Linked DNA regions of Chlamydomonas reinhardtii. Each later gene encodes a partner of the first gene's protein in a complex. Links are inferred from orthologs where the notes say so. Each region holds a gene or a part of one and is shown on either strand. Other genes may lie near its edges.

Region 1 (9,555 bases):
CATTGATGAGCTGGAGGAGCGCGTGCACGGCCGCCGCCGCGACGTCAACAGGTGGGGCTGTAGATGGGGTGGGGTGGGGTGGAGGGGGGGTTGTAAACACCAGCCCAAACCCAATGCAAACGAGCGAGGAGGAGAGCGTGGGGGAGCCGGGGTAGTCGCAAGCATTCCCACACACGGAGGAGTACTACATGTGCACTAGCGCGTGGCCGTGTGGTGTTGCGGTGTCGCGGCAACGCTCTAGCCGTGAAGCAATGCCTGCGCCATCGCCCGGTGGCGCTGCTCCTATGCTGGCTTGGACTCGTTGCCACGCCAAGCAAATGTCAACGTTTCACATTCCTCACATCACCCCAGGCTCCCAACACAAGTTCCATCGCACACACACACACACACACGCAACATTCGTAAACCGTCGCTTTGCTGCATCGCATACACTGACTTTGTGCAATGTTTTCCTTGTGCTTTTCAACACGCTCAACGCCGCCACTCAACACATACTCCCGCACCCCCCCCCCCCGCAGTGACGACGAGCTCCACTTTGGCGTCACGGCCCCGGGCGGCATGGCCTACGCTGCCAACGTGCCGGGCGTGCCGGGAGCGCAGTGGACCGGCATTGTGACTCAAGTGGGGGTTGGCTGGTGTAGATGGTGGGGTTGGTTGGATGGGTGGATAAGTGGGTGCCTGGGTTGGGATGGGGGTGGTGTTAAGGGAACAACGTCCGCGCCGTGGTCTTGGTATTGCATGGGGTCATGCGTGGGCAATGTCGTACTGATATGCCTCGGCGGGCCGCGCTCCCAACTACCTGTACCAACCGCCCCCACCGCCTCTGCTACTGCGATGCTGCTGCCGTACTGCCAACCGCTTGTCAACCCCTCGCTCCCGTACCCGCCGTACATACTTGCTGCCGCTGCCGTACCGTTACCCATGCAGATCGCCATCGAGATGCTCCAGAGCGGCAAGGTGGACGCGGTGGTGTGCGTGCAGAGCGACGAGAACGACAGGTGGGTGCGCAGGCGGTGGTGGGCGTGTGGGCGTGCCGAAGTGGGCAATGGATCGAATGAGTGACGATCCGAGCCATTCGGCTGTTCGATGGTTGACTTCGTGGCGCCTCGTGGAGCTTCAGAGAGATCAAGGACGCCTGGCCAATCTTGAGGGGCCCCACCGCTCATCCGGCTAAGTCGTCGGCTAACCCGGGGGGTGCGGGCCGCTCGTCCGGCTGGGCGAGCGACTCAGCGCGCTGAGCCCGCAGCCCCCTTCACTGGGCTGAAGCTCTCAGCAGCTGAGCCTTCCGCTCAGCGACCGGAGCTCGCTGAGAGCAGCCGAAACAGCCCGTGTGATCCCTCTACACGTTTGGTCCTGGCAGCGCCTCGACTCCTACTCCTACTCATACTCCTACTGCTCTTAACCTTCTTCTTCAGCCTCTCCGTTGTCAAAGCATAGGCCACGCTGTCCTCGTCGCCCGTTTGCATTGGGATTGCTGTAGGTTGGGACGGCATCTACAGCAGTACAGCCCCACTCCCAGCCCAACCGGCGCCATTCTCCCCCTGCTTGTCCTCCACTCCCGCAGGTTCACGCCAAAGCCCGTGGTGGCTCGCACCGTGGAAGACATCATCAAGGTGTGTGCCGTACATGTTTGTGCGTGGTGTACGTGTTTTTGAGCAAGCATAAAGTAAAGTGTGTGACACGTTTAGCAGGATGCACGAAGAGGAGTGTACGGCATGCCGTGCGTGTATGTGTGCGTGGGGGCCCACGTGGACGCATGCCACCCGTCAGGCCCCGCCAGGCCCCGTCTGCTGCTGACCCGCCCAACCCCACCCTAACCACATTCCAGCCGCCCCAACCATCCGACCAACCGCCCAACCGCCCCAACTGCCCAACCACCCCACACAGGCCCGCGGTGTGAAGCCCACCCTGTCGCCCAACCTAAACGTGCTGGCCACCGTGGAGGCGCTGCAGGTGGGGGTGTGAGGATGACAGGATGTGGTGGTGTGGGGGGGAGGCGCTGCAGGTGGGGGGAGGCGGCGGTGTGTGTGTGAGGAGGAGCTGCAGGTGGGGGAGGCGGTGTGAGGAGGTGGCGGCGTGTATTGGCGGTGTGTGTTCGCGCGAATGAGGCGGCCGAGCTGTGTGCTGCTGCACGCACGTGCGCGGGTTACTCGATCAAACTTGAGTAATGGCCTGAGCATTGGCAAGCTGACCTACGCCGCTGCCGTGCTCCGCTGCCGCCCTCCCCACCACTCGCGTTCCAACGCCTGATGTTTTTTCTTGCTGTCCCCTGATTCCCTGCTTGTATCCTGTTCCCAATGTTTTGTTTAACCTTGAACTCCCCACCCCGCAGGTCAAGAAGCTGCTCTTTATTGGCGTGGGGTGCCAGGTGTGTGTGTGGGGGGGGGGGCCCAGGGGCGCGCAGCACGATCCAACAATGCCACACGTCCCCTGTCACCCCATCCCTCCACCGCCCCTCCACCCCATCCCTCCACCGCCCCTCCACCCCACCCGAACCCCACCCCACCCCACCTGACCCCATCCTCCTCCCCTCCACCGCCCAGGTCCAAGCCCTTCGCTCCATCGAGCCGCACCTGGGGCTGGAGAAGCTGTACGTGCTGGGGACCAACTGCGTGGACAACGGGCCCAGGTGGGAGCTGGCGTGGCGCCTGTCGAAAGGCTTGGATTGGGGCAAGTTAAGGACACGTGTTGAGAACAGGGTCCAAGTGAGCCATCATCACGTGGGGCCAACGCCAACACCCATGATCACCTGTGAGCACCACTTTTCACTTTCCTACACACACACACACACACACACACACACACGTGCGCGCACACACACGCAGGGCTGGCTTTCGTTTCGTTTTTTAACACACATGTGCACACACACACACACACACACACACACACACGCAGGAAGGGCCTGGACAAGTTCCTCAAGGCCGCCAGCACGCGGCCCGACCAGGCCCTGCACTACGAATTCATGCAGGACTACAGGTGGGGAGTGTGGAAAGAGTGTGGGGAGTGTGCGGGCAGCAAGCGGGGGTGCGTTAGGTGTGTACGTGGGGTACGAGTGAGCCGTCCCAAGCCCCAGGGCGCAGCGGCGTGGTTGCAAAAGGAGGTGAGGCATCCCAGTCAAGTGCCCCTCCTGTAAATACACACACACACACACACACACACACACACACACACACACACACACACACACACAAAAGCACACCACTATAACACACAAGCACCCTCATCCCACACAAGCACGCACATCCCCCCCACACACATATATACATACACACGCACACACAGGGTTCACGTGAAGCACACGGACGGGTCGTTTGAGTACGTGCCGTACTTCTGTCTGCCCGCCAACGAGCTGAACGACGTCATCGCGCCCTCCTGCTACTCCTGCTTCGACTACCCCAACGCCTTGGCAGACATGGTGGTGAGAGAGTGGCGTGTGTGGTGGGCGGCATGAGGGGGAGAGGAGATGCGGGCAGGAGCTGTGGGGATGGTGACGGCTGTGTACGGTGCGCGTGTGTTTGTGTGTGAGGGCAGCAAAATGGACACGCCCTACAAGCTGAACTGAAGGCGTACCTGTGCGTGGAGCTTCTTGCATGTCGGCAAGTGTGTGGGTGTGGGTGTGGGTGTGGGTGTGGGTGTGGGTGTGAATGCGAGTGTGAGTCCGCAAGCCGGCTATGGCGTGTCCGGGTGTGTGTATGTGGCTCGTCGTACATCCTCGAAGCCCCGTGTTCCGCCCACCTGCCCTCCCGCCCCTCCCCCCTCCCTCCCGCGACAATTCCATGAATACTGCGACCTAACTCGTTGAGCTCGGGCCTAGAACTTCACATTTTATTAAGCAATCATGAATGTAACCCGCCCCCCCAGGTGGGCTACATGGGAGTTCCCTACCTGAACAAAGACATGACCTCACACCCCCAGGTGCGGGCTGGCGGGTGAAAACGCCGTGCGGCCCGCCAACTACTGCATTGTAATCATGCATAGATTGGAAGCTGTACTTCTGTTGTGATCGCCTGACGCCTGTTGTGAAGAGCAATCCACGTGCCAAAGACCCTGCCTCTTTTAACAATAACCTCAACTCCAAATTAATTAACACCTCCCGACAAACTCCACTGCGCAGTATGTGGTGGTCCGCAACGACCGCGGTAATGAGCTGTTGGACAGCGTGCGGCACCGACTGCAGGTGGGGTGGGCGTGAGGGCAGGAGTGGGAGTGGCGGTAGGAGCGCGCGCGTGCGGTGCAGGCATTGGCGCGCGGGTGTCAGGGTGGGGTTGCGGGCACGAAGGGCACTGAGTAAGGTACTCGGAGATCTCCCCCTCACCCTGAAGCACATGTTCAGTAGTCAGTACCCCTCCCCATGCCACGCTCCTTGCACCCCACGCAGATCACGCCCACCGTCTCCACAGGCGACCGCCGGGGCATTGTGATGCAGGTGCGTGCGCGTGCGGATGTGTATGTTGTGCTGCTTTACCTTGCAGTAAAAGGACTAGATAGCAGCTCACAGACCATCATTCCGCAACACGCCACTACGGTGTGTCTGTTAGAGAGCACAAGGGAAGGGAGCACAGCGCGCAGCACTGTGTACGCGATACCGTGCGACACTCGCGGCATTTCCGCTCGCATACATGTTTCTTTACTTGCACCTGTCCATGCGTGTACTTGCCATGCCCCCGCCCCCCCCCCCCCGCCGTTCGCCCGCACACACAGACGGTGGCCAGCGATGATGAGGCCAAGATGGGCCAGCTGCGGGACCCCGCGCCGCGCTGGCTGGGCAACATGCTGGCCTGGCTGCTCAACCTGATCGGGCCCAAGGTGGGGAGGGAGGGAAGGGCGAGTGAGGGAGGGAGGGTGAGGGCGAGTGGGAGTTACGTGGGAGCGGGTGGAACGGAGGGCGGGAGGGAGAGCGGGTGGGAGTGACGCGAGTGTGCGGGGAACCTGTAGGGCAGCGGGGGCATGACTCGAGCCTGTCAACATGTACGGGCAGCACTGCCGCTGCTGTCGCCCACCGCACATTCCTTCTGCGCCAGTCGTGTCTCCTGGCGTGTCTCCTGTCTTGTCTCCTGTCTTGATAGTTTAACGATGTTGTGCCCTGGCTGTGCTGTTTATCTGTTCCTGCGTCAGGGTCTGGAGTTCGGCAAGTACTCCATCGACTACCACTACATCAGGTGCGGGCGGGGCAGAGGAGTCGGGCGTGCGGCGGGAGGGGCGGCGGGCCCGGGCCGCCGCGGCTGGGTGTGGTGTAATGCGGGTCAGTGTGGGACTGCATGGCACAAACACACAGGCTCGGAGCCTCGCACAGCCTCATTGACGAAATTAGCTGACATGTCACTGTATCATTGATTACCGCATAAGGCCGCCCAAACGGAGTCAGCCGAGTCAACCGAGTCAACCGAGTCAACGCAACCAACCACGCAATCAACCGCCCCTGCCCCACGCGCCACACAGGAACTACTTGTACGTCAACCGCAAGTGGGGGGCCAAGCGCGCCGAGCAGCACATTCCCTCCTTCGCCAAGAAGATCGTGCAGCAGTACGACAAGGACGGGGCCGTGAGCAAGCGCATCAGCCTCAAGCCCAAGTTCTAGTCTATACTCGCATCATTGTGAATTAAGGTTATGAGTTGAGGTGGAGGCTGAGTCCCCGTCAGGGGCTTAAAATAGAGTTCTTTACAGTTTCGCTGGGTTGTGGCGGGGTACGGTGTGGGACACGGGTATGTGTGGGTTACTTATGGGGGCTGACCGGCGTGCCTTGTGGCAGAGGAATGAACTCGAAATTGCACGGCGCGGTGGAGGGAATAACGACACTCTACTCGAATCGATGCTCGCAGGATGGGGCCGAAATGCGCGTTGCATGGTGTTGAGGAGCGGTCATCGTACTGATAAGTAGCGGTTTGGCTCAGAGTAGTACCTATCTATTAGACCTCGTAATTGCAAGACAAGACGACGACGTGTAGAGTATTCTATAGGAAGCAGGCCGGATTGAGGTGCGTGCTTGCCATGGGCACCGTGGCACACTGGCACCAGCACCGGCACCGTGGTACCCACGCATACCATGCTTACTGACATTCCCGCAATTTAAACTCGGCACGCTACGTTTCCGGGGTGGGAAACCACGCCAGTCAAGATGCGTGGGCATGGCACCCCAAGATGCCTGGGCGGACCAGCCCCGCCAGTCGAGATACGTGGACATGCCGACATGGCTCCCCAAGATGCCTGCGCAGGGCTACCCCAGCAACCTCAGATGCGCGTGCGCGGGGGTCAGGTTGCCTCTGGAACTTAGCTGCCAGACCAGACCCCCCCGCCAGATGCCTGCGCTAGGCAACTTTCCCACCCTCCGTACGACATTGTTACCACACATGAGAGACAGTGAGCAAGTGAGGCAGTCTGCACCAAGGTCAGCACGCACGGGTCTGGCATCATTATCTGGCGGTGAGCGTGAGAGCTGCGTACGCATCTGAGGTTGGTTCCCAAAGGAGTAGTGGGAAGAGCAAGGGAAGACAAGCTGGGCTGGTCACGTGCTGCACTGCGCCGCACTGCGCTGCACTACCGTACTGCGCTGCACTGCAGTACTGCACAAGTGCACAGGAGGCAATAGAGTGCACATAGCCAAGCCCAGTACATCGTCCAGCTGCCCAGTACGTCTTCCTGGAGGGTCGGAGTGAGAGAGCTTGGTCGGCTGGTCGGTTACAACCATCACGACCAAGCCACGTATGCTCACTCTGCACAGGCTCTGCAGTCTGCACAGGCTCAGCAGATTCCCAGTCTCGCGAGTGAAGCCCGTTTCATAGCAGCTGCAATGCCGTAATCTTCACGCTGAGGTCGTACAGGTCGCCACAACTGCTGCAACCATAACTGCCGGTAGTGCGGTTACTACGAGCTGACAGTGCCACCACGTAGCGCAACTAGCCTGGTCAAATCGTCTAACAGAACAGCTTGGGGTTCGGCCAACTGTAGGGTACGTGTCCTTACCGTGCATCACTAACGAACCCGCCTCCACACCACATCACAACATGCGTGACAAAAGCAAAGCCGGCTGTCAATCAAACTCACACTGACGCCCTGAATGCCGGTCCAGCCAGGTAGGGGGGCCCGCAGCCCCGCAGCAGCAGCCCTGTCTAGCCAGACGCCGGCAGCCAATGTCGTAAACACTTCTCCTGGACCAAGCGGTGTCGTTAAGACCCAAATCTATACATCATACCGGCACACAAGATTCCCAAATATTCCTCGCAACAAGAAAAGTGTCTCCCAGAACGTGGGCTGCGTCCACTACTCGCCCGTCTGAGGCTGAAGGTTCCAAAAGTACGGTACCTCACCTCCCGGACATGACCAGGACAGTTCGTACAGGCACCGCCCGCGTTAGGCTGGTATATATGGTACTCGGCTTGCGTGTGTGGTAACAGCGTTGCGCCTTGGGCGCTTTACCCGCAACAGTCACATGTCCATCCATTCGCGCAGCTGCTCCTCGCAAACACACGCTTCACGGCACTTCATAAATGGCACATGAACAGAACGTCCCATCACATCACACAACATCACGCCGACCCACCAGGACTACACGCCCTCGGCGACACCGCCGGCGCCCTCGGCCGGCGCCCCGCCCACCACCTCCTCGGCCGCGGCGACCAGCTCCGCCAGCCAGTCTATGCGCGCGGGGGCATTCTTGTTTCCGTACCTCCTGCACCTGGCGAGCAGCTCCCTGAGAGCTGCATGCAGCCCAGGCGTCCACTGCACCTGCTCCTGCTGGCCTTGCCCGCCGCCCATACCCACAGCCCACTGCAGCTCCGCTATTACGGCAGTCCCACTACGTGCATCCTCAAACACCAGGCTCTCGACCAGCTCCTGCCTGGACGTCGCCACCAGGCCGTAGCGCACCAGCCAGTCCGCCGCCGCCCAGTTGCCGCCGCGCAACACCTGCCGGAACGCGCTGCAGGACAGCGGCTGCAGCGATGCAACAATGGAGCAGAGCGCGGGGGCGGGGGATAGGAATAGACCAGATGTTGCATAGGCAAAACGGAAGGCAGGGGATTATGGGCCTGTGCAATCACACCGCCGCCTGCTGGTGAATATATCTGCACTCAAGCAGGTCAACGCGGCGTGTCAGCTCTGCCATTGCCTACCCCACCCATCCCTCCACCCACCTCCGGCGCCTCCCCAGCAGCTGCGGTCAGCGCCGCCACCGCCCACTCCAGCGCCTCCTCGCTGCCGCCCTCCGCCACTGCCACCAGGTCGATGGCGCCGCCGCGCTGCAGGTACGGCGCGCAGTGGCACATACCGACATACGGTACACATCCTATTACGGTAGCTCATTTGTTAGTAGCTGATGTGGCAACAGTGACCAGTTGTGTCTGCACAACCCACATGACCAACGAATTCACACATGCCACACACCTGCTCGTGCAGGTGCTGCAGCAGTGGCAGGTCAGCACCACTCCTTGCTGCGTTTTGAAACAGGGACGACCAGTCCTTATCAGCACCGCCCTGCTGCACAGCGCCGGGCTCCTCCAGGAGCAGGTAGCGCAGAGACCTCAGCATGTTGGTCCGTGCTAGGTCCTCATTGCGGCTGCGTACGTTTCTGCAAGACACTGCCAGCACCGCCGCAAGGTCGCGAGGCGCCGGGAAGACGTGGCCGCGCTCTCGCAGCAGCCGCAGCACAGGCACGTGACCGCGCTCGAATGCCACTGCTGCGATGGGGATCAGAGGTGGCACCACCAGCCGCCACTGCAGTGGCGGCTGTTGCTGCGGCGCCGGTACGCCCGCTGCAGCCGCCGGCCCACCGCCAGCGGCCGGCACCGCCTGCTGCCGCAGCAGAGCAGGCAGCTGGTCGAGACAGAACTCCACCGCGGCAGTGCTGCCAATGGTGCCGGCCGCCTCAGGCGCATACCTATCTATCATGTCCCGCAGGCGGTAAGACGCCAGCAGCTGCAGCCGCTGCGGAAAGTCGGGGCGCCTCATAATGTTGGACACCCGCTCGTCGATACCCTCGACGTGGCCAAGGCCTGCGCCCAAGCCCGCGGCCGCCCCACCCCACTGAGCCCACAGCCACTCGCATTTGGCGGCCCAGTCGGGCGTGGGGCTGGCCGCCGCCGCCATCAGGAGCTGCCGCCTCTGCCCAGCTGTCCACAGCAATCGACTGCCCCAGCGCTCGTAGTATTGCTGTAGCACCTCCAGCGGGCAGCCGGACGCCACATGCGACAGCACAGTGGGCCTGCCGTCTTCATCTTTTAGGCTCAGGGGAAAGCGCGTCGCCAGCTGCCGCAGCAGCTCCACCCGCCCCGCCGCCGCGGCGGCCCCCAGGAGTCTGCGCTTACAGCCAGGCCGCTGTGATACGTCCGCCTGCCTAAGCGCCAACTCCACCGCATCTGAATGCCTGGCGTAGCAGAGCTCTGGCAAGATCGTGAAGATAGCGGAAGTAACTGTCTCAACAAGCCATTTGCACACGGGCAGGCTGCCGGCAACGCCAGCTGCTGCCGCGGCGAGCTCAGGCTCCATGTCGTAGCCCTCGCTCTCGTGCAGCCGCCGGCACGCCGCCAGGTCACCGGCAGCGATGGCGGACGCTAGAGCGT
Region 2 (9,437 bases), on another chromosome or scaffold:
GCACACGTGGCTGGCCTGCGTTGATTGAGCCTGTACTACGCGAGTTGGTTGATGCCATCGTTTAAATATGGTTCAAACTCAAAGGTTGTCTTGATTGTCAACTGTGCCACAGGGGTGGCAATGCATGTTGCAGGTACACGTATGCTTTATGATCAAGTGCTGACGGGAGCTTGGCATGGTGGTCCAAAGAGGCAAAGACGCCAAGATGGGGTTTCCGTGTCCTTCTCCCCCCACCCCCAACCCCCAACCTTCCCCCCGGCCCCCTGCTCATCTATGGTGTATCCAAGACTTGCTTGCTTGTTGACTGCCGTGCACTCAAGTACAAGTAAGTAGAACTGGTGTGGATTTAGGCGCAAAAACTGGGTGGTCGAAAAACCATGCTTCCGCGAATGGTCAACATTAGCAGCCTTACGTTTGCACAAGGAATAGACAGCGGTCGCCATCAGGGAGACCCCGAGGGAGACCCCGACCTCGCGACCTCGCGACCTCGCGAAAGTCAAGTCATGTACATGGACTCGCGAGGTCGCTTCTCGCTCCGGCCGAGTTTTCCCTGCCGCCTATTTTTTTCTACAATAGGGAATAGCAATTCATGCCATGTGCAACTGAAAACGGAGCATATGGACGGGATCAACTACACGGTTTGCCTGATCACCCCTGGCCCATCGGCACGGCGCGACGGTCAGCACAACTACTTGCGGATGAGGTCTGGCGCCCCGCCATCCGCTGGCTAAATCTACACGGTGCTGTGTCGCTTGCTCTCTTCCGACTACAGTGGGCCACCTTCCAGGGTCGCGCAAGATTTGCCAAAGCCCCCATCCCAAGTGCACCAACCCCGGCCCCCCGCTCGATACCCCCCATGCCTGCACACACATCAACTGCAGATCAACCTCACATACACCGCCCCCAAGGCCACGCACGACTCGTCCGCAAACGTTTGACTCGCCCACAGGCGCTGCACCAGTGGCTTTGTGGAGCGACACATCACCACTCCCACACGCATCCTGCGTGCCGTATCCAAGCATTAGGGCTTCCTAGACACCCGTCATCCCCTGCAGGCAGCTCCCCCAGGCCGGCCCGGGCAACACAGCTGCAGCAGCTCCACGCCTCTATCTCCACCTCGCCCTCCGCACATCCAGCACCCGCGCGCTACTGCTGCTCCTGCTCCTTGCCTCCACACCGCCCAACCGAACCCCTCCTCCTCCCATCCCACCTCAATCCCCCTCGCCATACTCCCCGCCCCCCTCCTACTCCAGCTGCATCATGACTGCCGACAGCTGCTCCAGCGCCGCCAGCGTGTCCAGCTCCCCCCGGCCCGAGGGAGGAGGAACCACCTCCACAACCACTGCAGTAGCAGCAGCAGCAGCAGCCCCCGCCTCGCCCCCAGCGGCAGCAGCAGCAGCAGCGGGCCGCCAGCCGCGGCCGGCGGCGGCCGCCAGTGCGTCGGCCTCGCCGCAGCCGCACAGGGCCGCCAGACGGGCCGCGCTGATGTGGCTGCGGCGGTGGGAGGGAGGGGCGATGGGCAGGACGGGAGGCGCGTGTGAGAGATGTGGAGTGCACGTGAGCAGTGAGCGGTGCATTGTGATGGTGGCTCACCGGCGTTCGTGCACAAGCGGCCCAGCGGCCACAGCAGCACAGCACGGCAACCCGCCCACACGCCTTCACCACCACATTAACGGACAACAACACGTCGTACACCCCTCCTCGCCGCCCTGTTTGCACCCCTCCCCCTCCCCCTATCTCAACACCTTCCGAGCCTACCCCAGCCCGCCCCAAGCGCCCACAGCCGCCTGACCACCACAGTTTGCGCTCTAAATTCGCCCCCTCATGGGGATGGCGAAAAGGACCCCCCCCCCTCCCGCGGTGCCCCTCGCCCTGCTGCTCCACGACACCTCGGCCCCCTCCCATAAGAAGTCCCGCTTGCATTTGTCGCCTCTGCCTGTGCTCCGCTAGTTCAACTTGCTTTGGGCTGGTATTTACACCCCCCGCCTTGGTCCCCCTATTGGGCTCGGCCACAAAACCCTTCCCCCCCCAAAACCGCCGCCCCCCCTCACCTGTAGGCCTGCTCCACCAGGTCCAGCTGCCTCGCGCGCAGCCGCTCCGCCAGCGCCTCCACCAGCTGCCCCGCCGGCCCCGACCAGGGGTGGCCGCGCAGTGCCCGCCACACGCCCTCGCCGCTGCCCTGCCAGGCGCACTGCAGCAGCCGAGCCGCGGCAGCCACCTGGGGTGGAGGCGGGTGTGTGCACGCACGGGGGGGGCGGCAGGGGCGTGTGAGGGGGGCACAGGGGCGTTGGGATGCACAGGAGCGGGCAGACAGGCCCTGCGGGCGCGTGAGCTTTGGCCAACAGGAAGTACAGGCGGCGTCGCATGGCGGTGCAAAGCTGGAGACGGCAACACGTGCCCCTACTCTGTCCGCCCCTGGCGCTGCTCTCGACCGCCCATCATGGCAGGGACTGGGTTGCGCCGCCGTCTCCACGCCCAACTCCCCTCGCTCGCCCTGCCCGCCAGTTCAGTGCTGTGGAGCAAAGAACGGATTCCGGGCATGCACACACGCCAGCCCCCCAGCCCCCCCCCCAGCTCGCCCCCAACAGACCACCAGCCGCCCAGCCGCCTCATGGGCAGTGTGCCAACAACCCCCAGCCCCTCCACACCGCCTCCGACAGCTCCTCACCACCACCACCAGTACCACCTCCCCACCACCACCACCGCCGGCCCACCTGCGGGTCGGCCCTGACCCCCTCGGGCATGCGCTTGAGCAGCAGCCGCGCATCCGCCAGGTTGCCCGCATACACGTGCGACAGCAGGTGCAGCGCAGCAGGCCAGGGCGCAGCAGCGCCGCCGTCGGCGCCTGCAGCGACGCCCGCTGCTCCGCCGCCCGCGGCTGGTCCGCCGCCTCCTCCCTCGGCAGCTGCGCCCCAGGGCGCCAGCGCGGCTAGCTCCGCCTCATCCAGCAGCCCGCACACGCCGCCGTAGTCGCCCGCCGCCAGGGCCGCTCCCACGCGCTCCATCACGCCCGCGGCCGCCATTGCTGCTGCTGGTGAGTCTGTAGTGCTGTGTGGCTGTGCGCGGCTATAGATGGATGCGCAGTGCCTGGGGTCTGTGCCGTGGTGCCAACAAAGGAAAGAGCTGGGTGTGGCGCTACAAGCCGCCTTGCTCCGTAGCGGTGGTGCCGCGGCAGGCCTGTGTAGTAGCTGTGCCGCACACAGAGGCTGCAAGAGGCGCGTTTGTGCAGGCGGGAGGAATGCGGGCGGGCGGTCGCGCAGTGTCAGGGTCGGCGGGCATGGACGGAGAGCCCGGAGAGGTGTCCGAGCGGAAGGCAACGCATGATAGCGATATGGCTCACCCCAGCCAGCCTCACAAACATACCCTCCCAAGATACAAGCCGCACGTACCAAGCCGGTGAGCGCGAGACGCTGTGCTGCTCACAGATCCCTCCACTGCGCGCAAGTTAAGTTTTTCCTCTTGCAACGCAGTTTGCACTAATCGCTTTTATTGTATGTAAATGCTGAATAATATCAACAGTCGGGAGGATCGCAGGTCTGGGAAACGCAAACTCCCGAGGACGCGGTTTGTTGTATTGTCCCGTGCTATTTCTTCCCGCAACGGGTAGAAATGAGAAGCAGTATGTCAAATGCGCTTACGGAAAGGAAGGGAAGGTCAGAACAGCAGGGGCCCTCGATTGCATCATGCAGGTTTCGCTCGCTCTCAGCCATCTGGGCTTCTTGCCTCACCGTGCCAACTCGTTGGCTTATAAACGAACTTGTGGTAACGTTTTGGCGCACTCGGTCTGCTTATCAACGCCCTCTATTGGATTCTACTCGCTCTTTGTTTGTTCCTTCTACGTGCGTGACCAACCACCCCAGCGATCCAACCCAGTCGTCATTTCAATTGTACCGTTAGCCATGATGCTATCGCAGCGCTCGGGCGTTGCCGCGAAGGCTCACGCGTCAACTGCTCGCGCCATCAACCCCAACGCTGTGGCATCACTTGCGGCTAGCGCACGCGGCGGCCCCGCCAGCACCAGCAGCTTCGGCGCCGCAGGACTTGCCCGCGCCTCGCCCGCGCGTCGCGGGCTTGCGCAGGGCGGGAGCGCGGCTGCACGCCGCGCCCGCCGCAGCGTCACGGTGACGCGCGCGGCCACCCAGCAGACCGAGAAGCCAACCGCCGCGGCCAACGGCACCCCCGCAACCGCCACCAACGGTAACGGTGGCGGCAAGGCGGTTGCGCCCCAGGCGCCGTACAACGTGGTTATCACCGGCTCCACCAAGGGTGAGAGCGACCCAGTCGCTGGGGAGGGTGACGGTGGCGGGGGGCGGAGCGGTGGCGAGGTGGCGAATGGGCTGCAGAGGGTGATGGTGGAGACGTGGCGGACGGGTGGGGGAAAGGTGGCGGAGAGGTGGCGAGGTGGCGAAGGGGCTGTCAGGGTGGGCTTGAGGATGCGCATTATCGCTGTGTGTCTGTGTGGACCCAGTCCGCTCTCCCCTGCCTGCTGCCCCCCTGCCCTAGGCATCGGCCGCGCGCTGGCCGAGGACTTCCTGCGGGCGGGCGACCGCGTGGTGGTCTGCAGCCGTACCGGTGAGGCGGGGTGTGGGTGGGTGGGAAACCAACCCAACGTAAACCCAAACCAACGATAAAAAGCGAGGAGGAGACCAAACCAAACTGAGCTAGCGCAGTACAGGCACAGGCGACAGGTGCACAGGGTTAGTTAATTCCAGTCCCAAAGACACCAAAACCCAGAACGCAAGGGGGTTACTTTCGCCCATCCCACGAGTGAAGAAAGAATAGGCGGTCGTCGAGGGCTTCCGGAGCTCGGGCGGTCCGCTGGTCTGCTATTGCAGGGCCTGCACGGGTGCATGTGGGCCCACCACCACCGCCACCACCACGACCTGACCACCACAACCACCACCACCACCTGCGCGCTCTCGCCTCTACACCCGCACCCAAGGTGACCGGGTGTCTGAGACGGTGGCTGAGCTGGCAGCGCAGTACGGCGCTGACCGAGTCAAGGTGAGGGGGCGGTGGTGTTTTGGGGGGAGGGCGGGAGGTTTGCCGTCCATGGGGGTGGGAGCACTGGGGTGGAAGTTAGTTAATTCTGGGGTGGGGAGGTAGTTTGTTCTTAACCCCGACGAAAGCAAGGCCCAGCCAGCCCACAGAGCACGAAGCGGGATTCTATGCCCGAGCCCAACAGGGTTTATGTATCTGGGCCCAATGATAAAATCCCAGGGGGGAATAGCCGTCCACGGAGGGACTAGAACCGGAAGCGGCTGGGGGCAGGTGGGGGTTGAGGGTTGGAGACTTGGGGGCGAAACACAGGGGGGCTGCATGCGGGGCTGTCGGGTCGTGACATCCCCGAGTGTGGATGCATGCGGTCCGATTGATTGCGCAAGGGAGGGGAACGCGTTGGGTACGTGTGCATGTATGTGTGTTTTTGGAAACATGAACGGTGCGTGGCTTATGAACCCGCCACCCCTGCAGGGTCTGGCGGTGGACGTGTCTGCCCCCGGTCAGGCGCGGCAGCTGGCGGACTTTGCGGCGCAGGAGCTCGGGCGCGTGGACATCTGGTACTGAGGGGGAGAGCTGGGGGAGGGCTGGGGGCAGGCGGGCAGACGAGGGGGGGGGAGGGGGGGTCGAGAACCGGAGCCTGTGCTGGAGCGCCTGCCTGCCTGCCTGCCTGGAGGGGAGGGCGCTCCCTCTTGTCGCCTGTGCCGACACGCCCTCTCAACCCCACCTCCCACCTCCACCACCCCCACCTCCTCCACCTCCCGCCTCCTGCGCCCGCCAGGATCAACAACGCCGGCACCAACGCCTACCGCTACGGCCCCATGGCCGAGTCCACCGACGAGGAGCTGAGTCAGATCGTGGGCACCAACGTGCTGGGCGTCATGCTGTGCTGCAAGGAGGTGGGGTGGGGGGGTGAGGGGTGAGGGTGGGATGGGGTGGATGGGATAGGGGGGGTGGGATGGGGGTGGGATGGGCGGGATGTAAATACCAGCCCACTCTCAAGAAGCCAAACTAGCAGAGCACAGGGTACATGGGAAGGGCTTACATCAGGCTTACATGGGCCACCCCCAGTGAAGGGAGGCACGGGACAAGGGCGGCTAGGGGTGGGGGCAGCTGGGGGGAAGGAAAAGGCAGGGGATGCAGAAGCATTGCTCGCCATCCCTCCCTTTGGCTGTCCGCCTTTGGCGAGACAAAGCACGGGGCGCGGGGGCTCGAGTGGACTTTGGACCTGCCAAACCACGCTGTGTATGCGTACGTGTACGGCGTGTGTGTGTCGTACTCTGCCCGCAGGCCATCCGCGTGATGCGCAGCCAGAGCACGCACGGGTGAGCTGCAGCGGGGGAGGGGGCGCCGGCACGGCCAGCTTCCACCGCGCGGGTTAGCCCACCGTGCACGCACATGCAGAGCGATTTACCAGTCAACCTTAATGCCCCATGCCTGCGTGCTGCCTTCTGGTTCCCTGTACCCCTTTCCCCCTGTAACTCGCTAGCTGAGTTTGCTTTGGTTTAGCTTATGCTGGAGTTGACAACCCACCCGACACCCTGAACCGTTCACATGAATGGCTACCCCCCCCCCCCCACCCCCACACCCCCACCCCCACACACAACCCCACTCCCCCCCCCCCTGGAGCGCGGCCGCCCGGACGGCCGCTCATGTGGTAACGACTTCGTCTGCAGTCTTCAGTGCATCCTGTACCGCTTTTCCAAACATCCTTGCAACCCCCCTCGCCCCCCACGTAGCCACATCTTCAACATGGACGGCGCGGGCGCGGACGGCAACGCCACGCCGCGCTTCGCCGCGTACGGCGCCACCAAGCGCTCGCTGGCGCAGCTGGGCAAGAGCCTGAGCGCGGAGCTGGGCATGCTGGTGAGAGGGGAGGGAGGAGGAACGAGGGAGGGGAGAGAGGAGAGAGGGGGGGAGCCAGGGGGAAGAGGGGAGAGGGGAGAGGAGGGGCCTGTGTACGCGAGGCTGTAGGAGGTTTCATACTACGCGCAGCTAGATGAACGGAAGCCTCCTTTCAACCTTCGTGTCACATACACACACACACACACACACACACACACACACACACACACACACACACACACACCTTCTGCCTCCCACCCCCCACCCCCCGCAGGGCATCAAGAATGTGGCTGTGCACAACCTGTCGCCAGGCATGGTCACCACCGAGCTGCTCATGGCGGGCGCCAACACGCCCACCGCCAAGTTCTTCATCAACTGCCTGGGTGCGTGTGGGGCGTGTGTGTGTGGGGGGGGTTGGGGCGGGGTGGGTGGATGTCTTTGTAGGTGCATCAGATGTCAAGACGGTGTGTAAAGGTGTGTGTATTGGCGTGCGCAATGGAGTGCAAGTAGTCCAACCAATCGCGGACCGCCACTCACCCGGCCCTCTGCTGCCCATCCCTTCCTTCCTCCCCTTCCTCCCTTCCCCCTTCCTCCGGTCCCCCGCTACAGCCGAGCCCGCCGCCGACGTGGCCTCCTTCCTGGTCCCCCGCATCCGGGCCGTGCCTGCTACAGCCGCCAGCCCGCTGACCGGCGCGCTACAGCCGGTCTACATCCGCTTCCTCACACAGGGCAAGGCGCTGCAGCGGGTGGCGGCGGTGAGTGGTGGGCTGGAGGGTTGTGCCGGAGGGGCGGGGGAGGGGGCTGGTTGGGGGGCGGGGAAGGCATGGGTTTGAGGGCGGGCGCACGCCGGCGGACGGGTTTGGCAGGCTACCCGAGTGTGCCCTTCCCATGTACGGGGAAAGACCCTAGAGAAACTGCTGAATCCTCGGCACATGGTTTGCGTGTCGGGAGAGCATACCATCGGCCCCCGGCTTTCAACGATGCCTCCCGTGACTCATGGGGCGGGAACTTTAACTGCAACAGCTGCGCGCCCATTCCGCCTCCACCTCCTTCGCTGACCCCCACGCCCACCCGTCCCCCCCCTCCACCCGCACCGCCTGACAGCGGCTGCTGACGGGCTCGCGCAAGAGCCGCTACGTGGAGGAGTGAGGCGGCAGAGCGAGGCGGCCGAGTGAGGCGGAGGAGTGAGGCGGCAGAGTGAGGCGGCAGAGTGGGGCAGGCGGCCGAGTGAGGCGGACGAGTGGATCTGCCGAGTGAGGGAGCTGGCCGTGACGGGAAAGGGGGCGATCGAGGGCGGGGGCCGGTGGCGGACGATGGAGGGGGCCAGATGAGCGGGGGAAAGGGCGGCGGCAGCGTCGTGGATGAGCTGGGGTGGGGAGTGGGGGCGATGAGGCAGGGTAAGGGGCGGGTCGGCGTGGTCCCGTACTGTGCAGCGTATTCCCAGAAACCCACGAGCGAGTGGGAACCAGTGACGGGAGCGGCGGCGGCGTAAATACCGGCCCAAACTGAACCAAACCAGCGGAGCACAATCAGCACAGGTAGAGGCGACAGTTGCAAGGGGGTTGCTGCGTGGAGCCACGGCCGTGGCCTTGTGTGTACCGTGTACCGTGCAGTGCAGGCGTGCGGGGGAGCGGGAGGCCAGGACAGGCCAGGGGCTGGGGGAGGCTGACTGGCTGAGGCAGGCCACGGCTGTGGCGCAGCTGGGGGCGGGGATGCTGGGGCACGGCGTCCCCCAGGCGGGCCGTGTGACTGAATATTGGCGCGGCACGTGATACAGCACAATGGTTTCCACACATTCTTGTGTTGGATCAGGGATACTTGGTGGTATAAAACGGAATGGTGATGCCATTGGATGCACTTTGATGGCTTGCGGCGTGAATGGCAGCTGACTGTATTGACAAGGCAGTGAGGTCTGGGGCTGGGAAGCTGGATGAACGAATGCTCGCCAACAAGTTGAAAGCTCTTGGGCAGCGGTTGGGACACTGGGTAGGACAGGGCAGTCGGTGCCGGGGCATTGGTACCACGCCCTCAACCCGTCAACGGTCCTCAACCGTCCGCACCGCCGTGGCCAGTTGGCACGGCTCGCAGCATCCCACAGGCCCAGCCGCGCCGCCGTGGTCTCCCCGACCTGTCAAGCCACATCGCCGCCCTGCAGCCGCCACACAGCCCACGTCGCACCACTGCCCCCTGTCCCAGTGTGTGTGGGCCCCCATGGGCCCTCCAGCACCTGCAGCGGAGTGCCTCCTGCTGCTGTGACCCGTGCTGCACCTGTCCCTCCTGCCCTGCCCCGCTCCACCACCGCTGCAGGTGGTCTTTCAGCACAAGCCCGCACCTCTACTTCCCATCTACCCCCCCATCGCCATGCCGCACGCACACCCAGCGCTCCGAGCTGAGCTACCGTACTGCCATCCAGCCGGGCCTACAGCACCACCCCTAGCTCCACCAGCACCAGCACCAGCACTCTCACCGCATCGCCTCACAGGTCGCGTTTGTCCCCCCGCACCTCCAACCCCAGGCTCTCCGCCCGCACATCCCCCGCCCCAACCGCCCCCAAACTCCCCCCACTCCCCCTGCCCTCCACTCCCCCTCCTCCC

The links.
Region 2: CHLRE_11g468700v5 (region 1) and CHLRE_14g608800v5 share a complex: the UniProt entries of both Arabidopsis thaliana proteins name them as parts of the SGR1-CCE-LHCII complex. The link is inferred for Chlamydomonas reinhardtii from reciprocal best matches to the Arabidopsis thaliana genes HCAR and NOL.

Annotation. Positions count from the first base shown.
Region 1 is NC_057014.1:2,054,107-2,063,661, reverse strand, and holds the end of CHLRE_11g468700v5 (uncharacterized protein), read left to right. Parts: coding exon 1-51; intron 52-518; coding exon 519-621; intron 622-927; coding exon 928-998; intron 999-1,564; coding exon 1,565-1,613; intron 1,614-1,887; coding exon 1,888-1,953; intron 1,954-2,332; coding exon 2,333-2,368; intron 2,369-2,543; coding exon 2,544-2,629; intron 2,630-2,895; coding exon 2,896-2,976; intron 2,977-3,282; coding exon 3,283-3,418; intron 3,419-3,861; coding exon 3,862-3,915; intron 3,916-4,114; coding exon 4,115-4,177; intron 4,178-4,378; coding exon 4,379-4,426; intron 4,427-4,701; coding exon 4,702-4,806; intron 4,807-5,115; coding exon 5,116-5,159; intron 5,160-5,439; coding exon 5,440-5,578; 3' UTR 5,579-6,072; downstream 6,073-9,555. Other genes in the region: CHLRE_11g468650v5 (uncharacterized protein), read right to left, coding at 7,544-7,930, 8,131-8,235, 8,381-9,555. UniProt on the Arabidopsis thaliana protein: Probable iron-sulfur flavoprotein that converts 7-hydroxymethyl chlorophyll a to chlorophyll a using ferredoxin as a reducing equivalent. Catalyzes the reduction of a hydroxymethyl group to a methyl group. Belongs to the chlorophyll catabolic enzymes (CCEs).
Region 2 is NC_057017.1:172,932-182,368, reverse strand, and holds CHLRE_14g608800v5 (uncharacterized protein), read left to right. Parts: upstream 1-3,761; 5' UTR 3,762-3,899; coding exon 3,900-4,266; intron 4,267-4,503; coding exon 4,504-4,572; intron 4,573-4,942; coding exon 4,943-5,004; intron 5,005-5,472; coding exon 5,473-5,558; intron 5,559-5,779; coding exon 5,780-5,897; intron 5,898-6,288; coding exon 6,289-6,323; intron 6,324-6,737; coding exon 6,738-6,864; intron 6,865-7,117; coding exon 7,118-7,226; intron 7,227-7,452; coding exon 7,453-7,598; intron 7,599-7,947; coding exon 7,948-7,992; 3' UTR 7,993-8,788; downstream 8,789-9,437. Other genes in the region: CHLRE_14g608850v5 (uncharacterized protein), read right to left, coding at 1,245-1,491, 2,052-2,218, 2,715-3,023; CHLRE_14g608788v5 (uncharacterized protein), read right to left, coding at 9,320-9,437. UniProt on the Arabidopsis thaliana protein: Required for chlorophyll b degradation. Chlorophyll b, chlorophyllide b, pheophorbide b and pheophytin b can be used as substrates. Belongs to the chlorophyll catabolic enzymes (CCEs).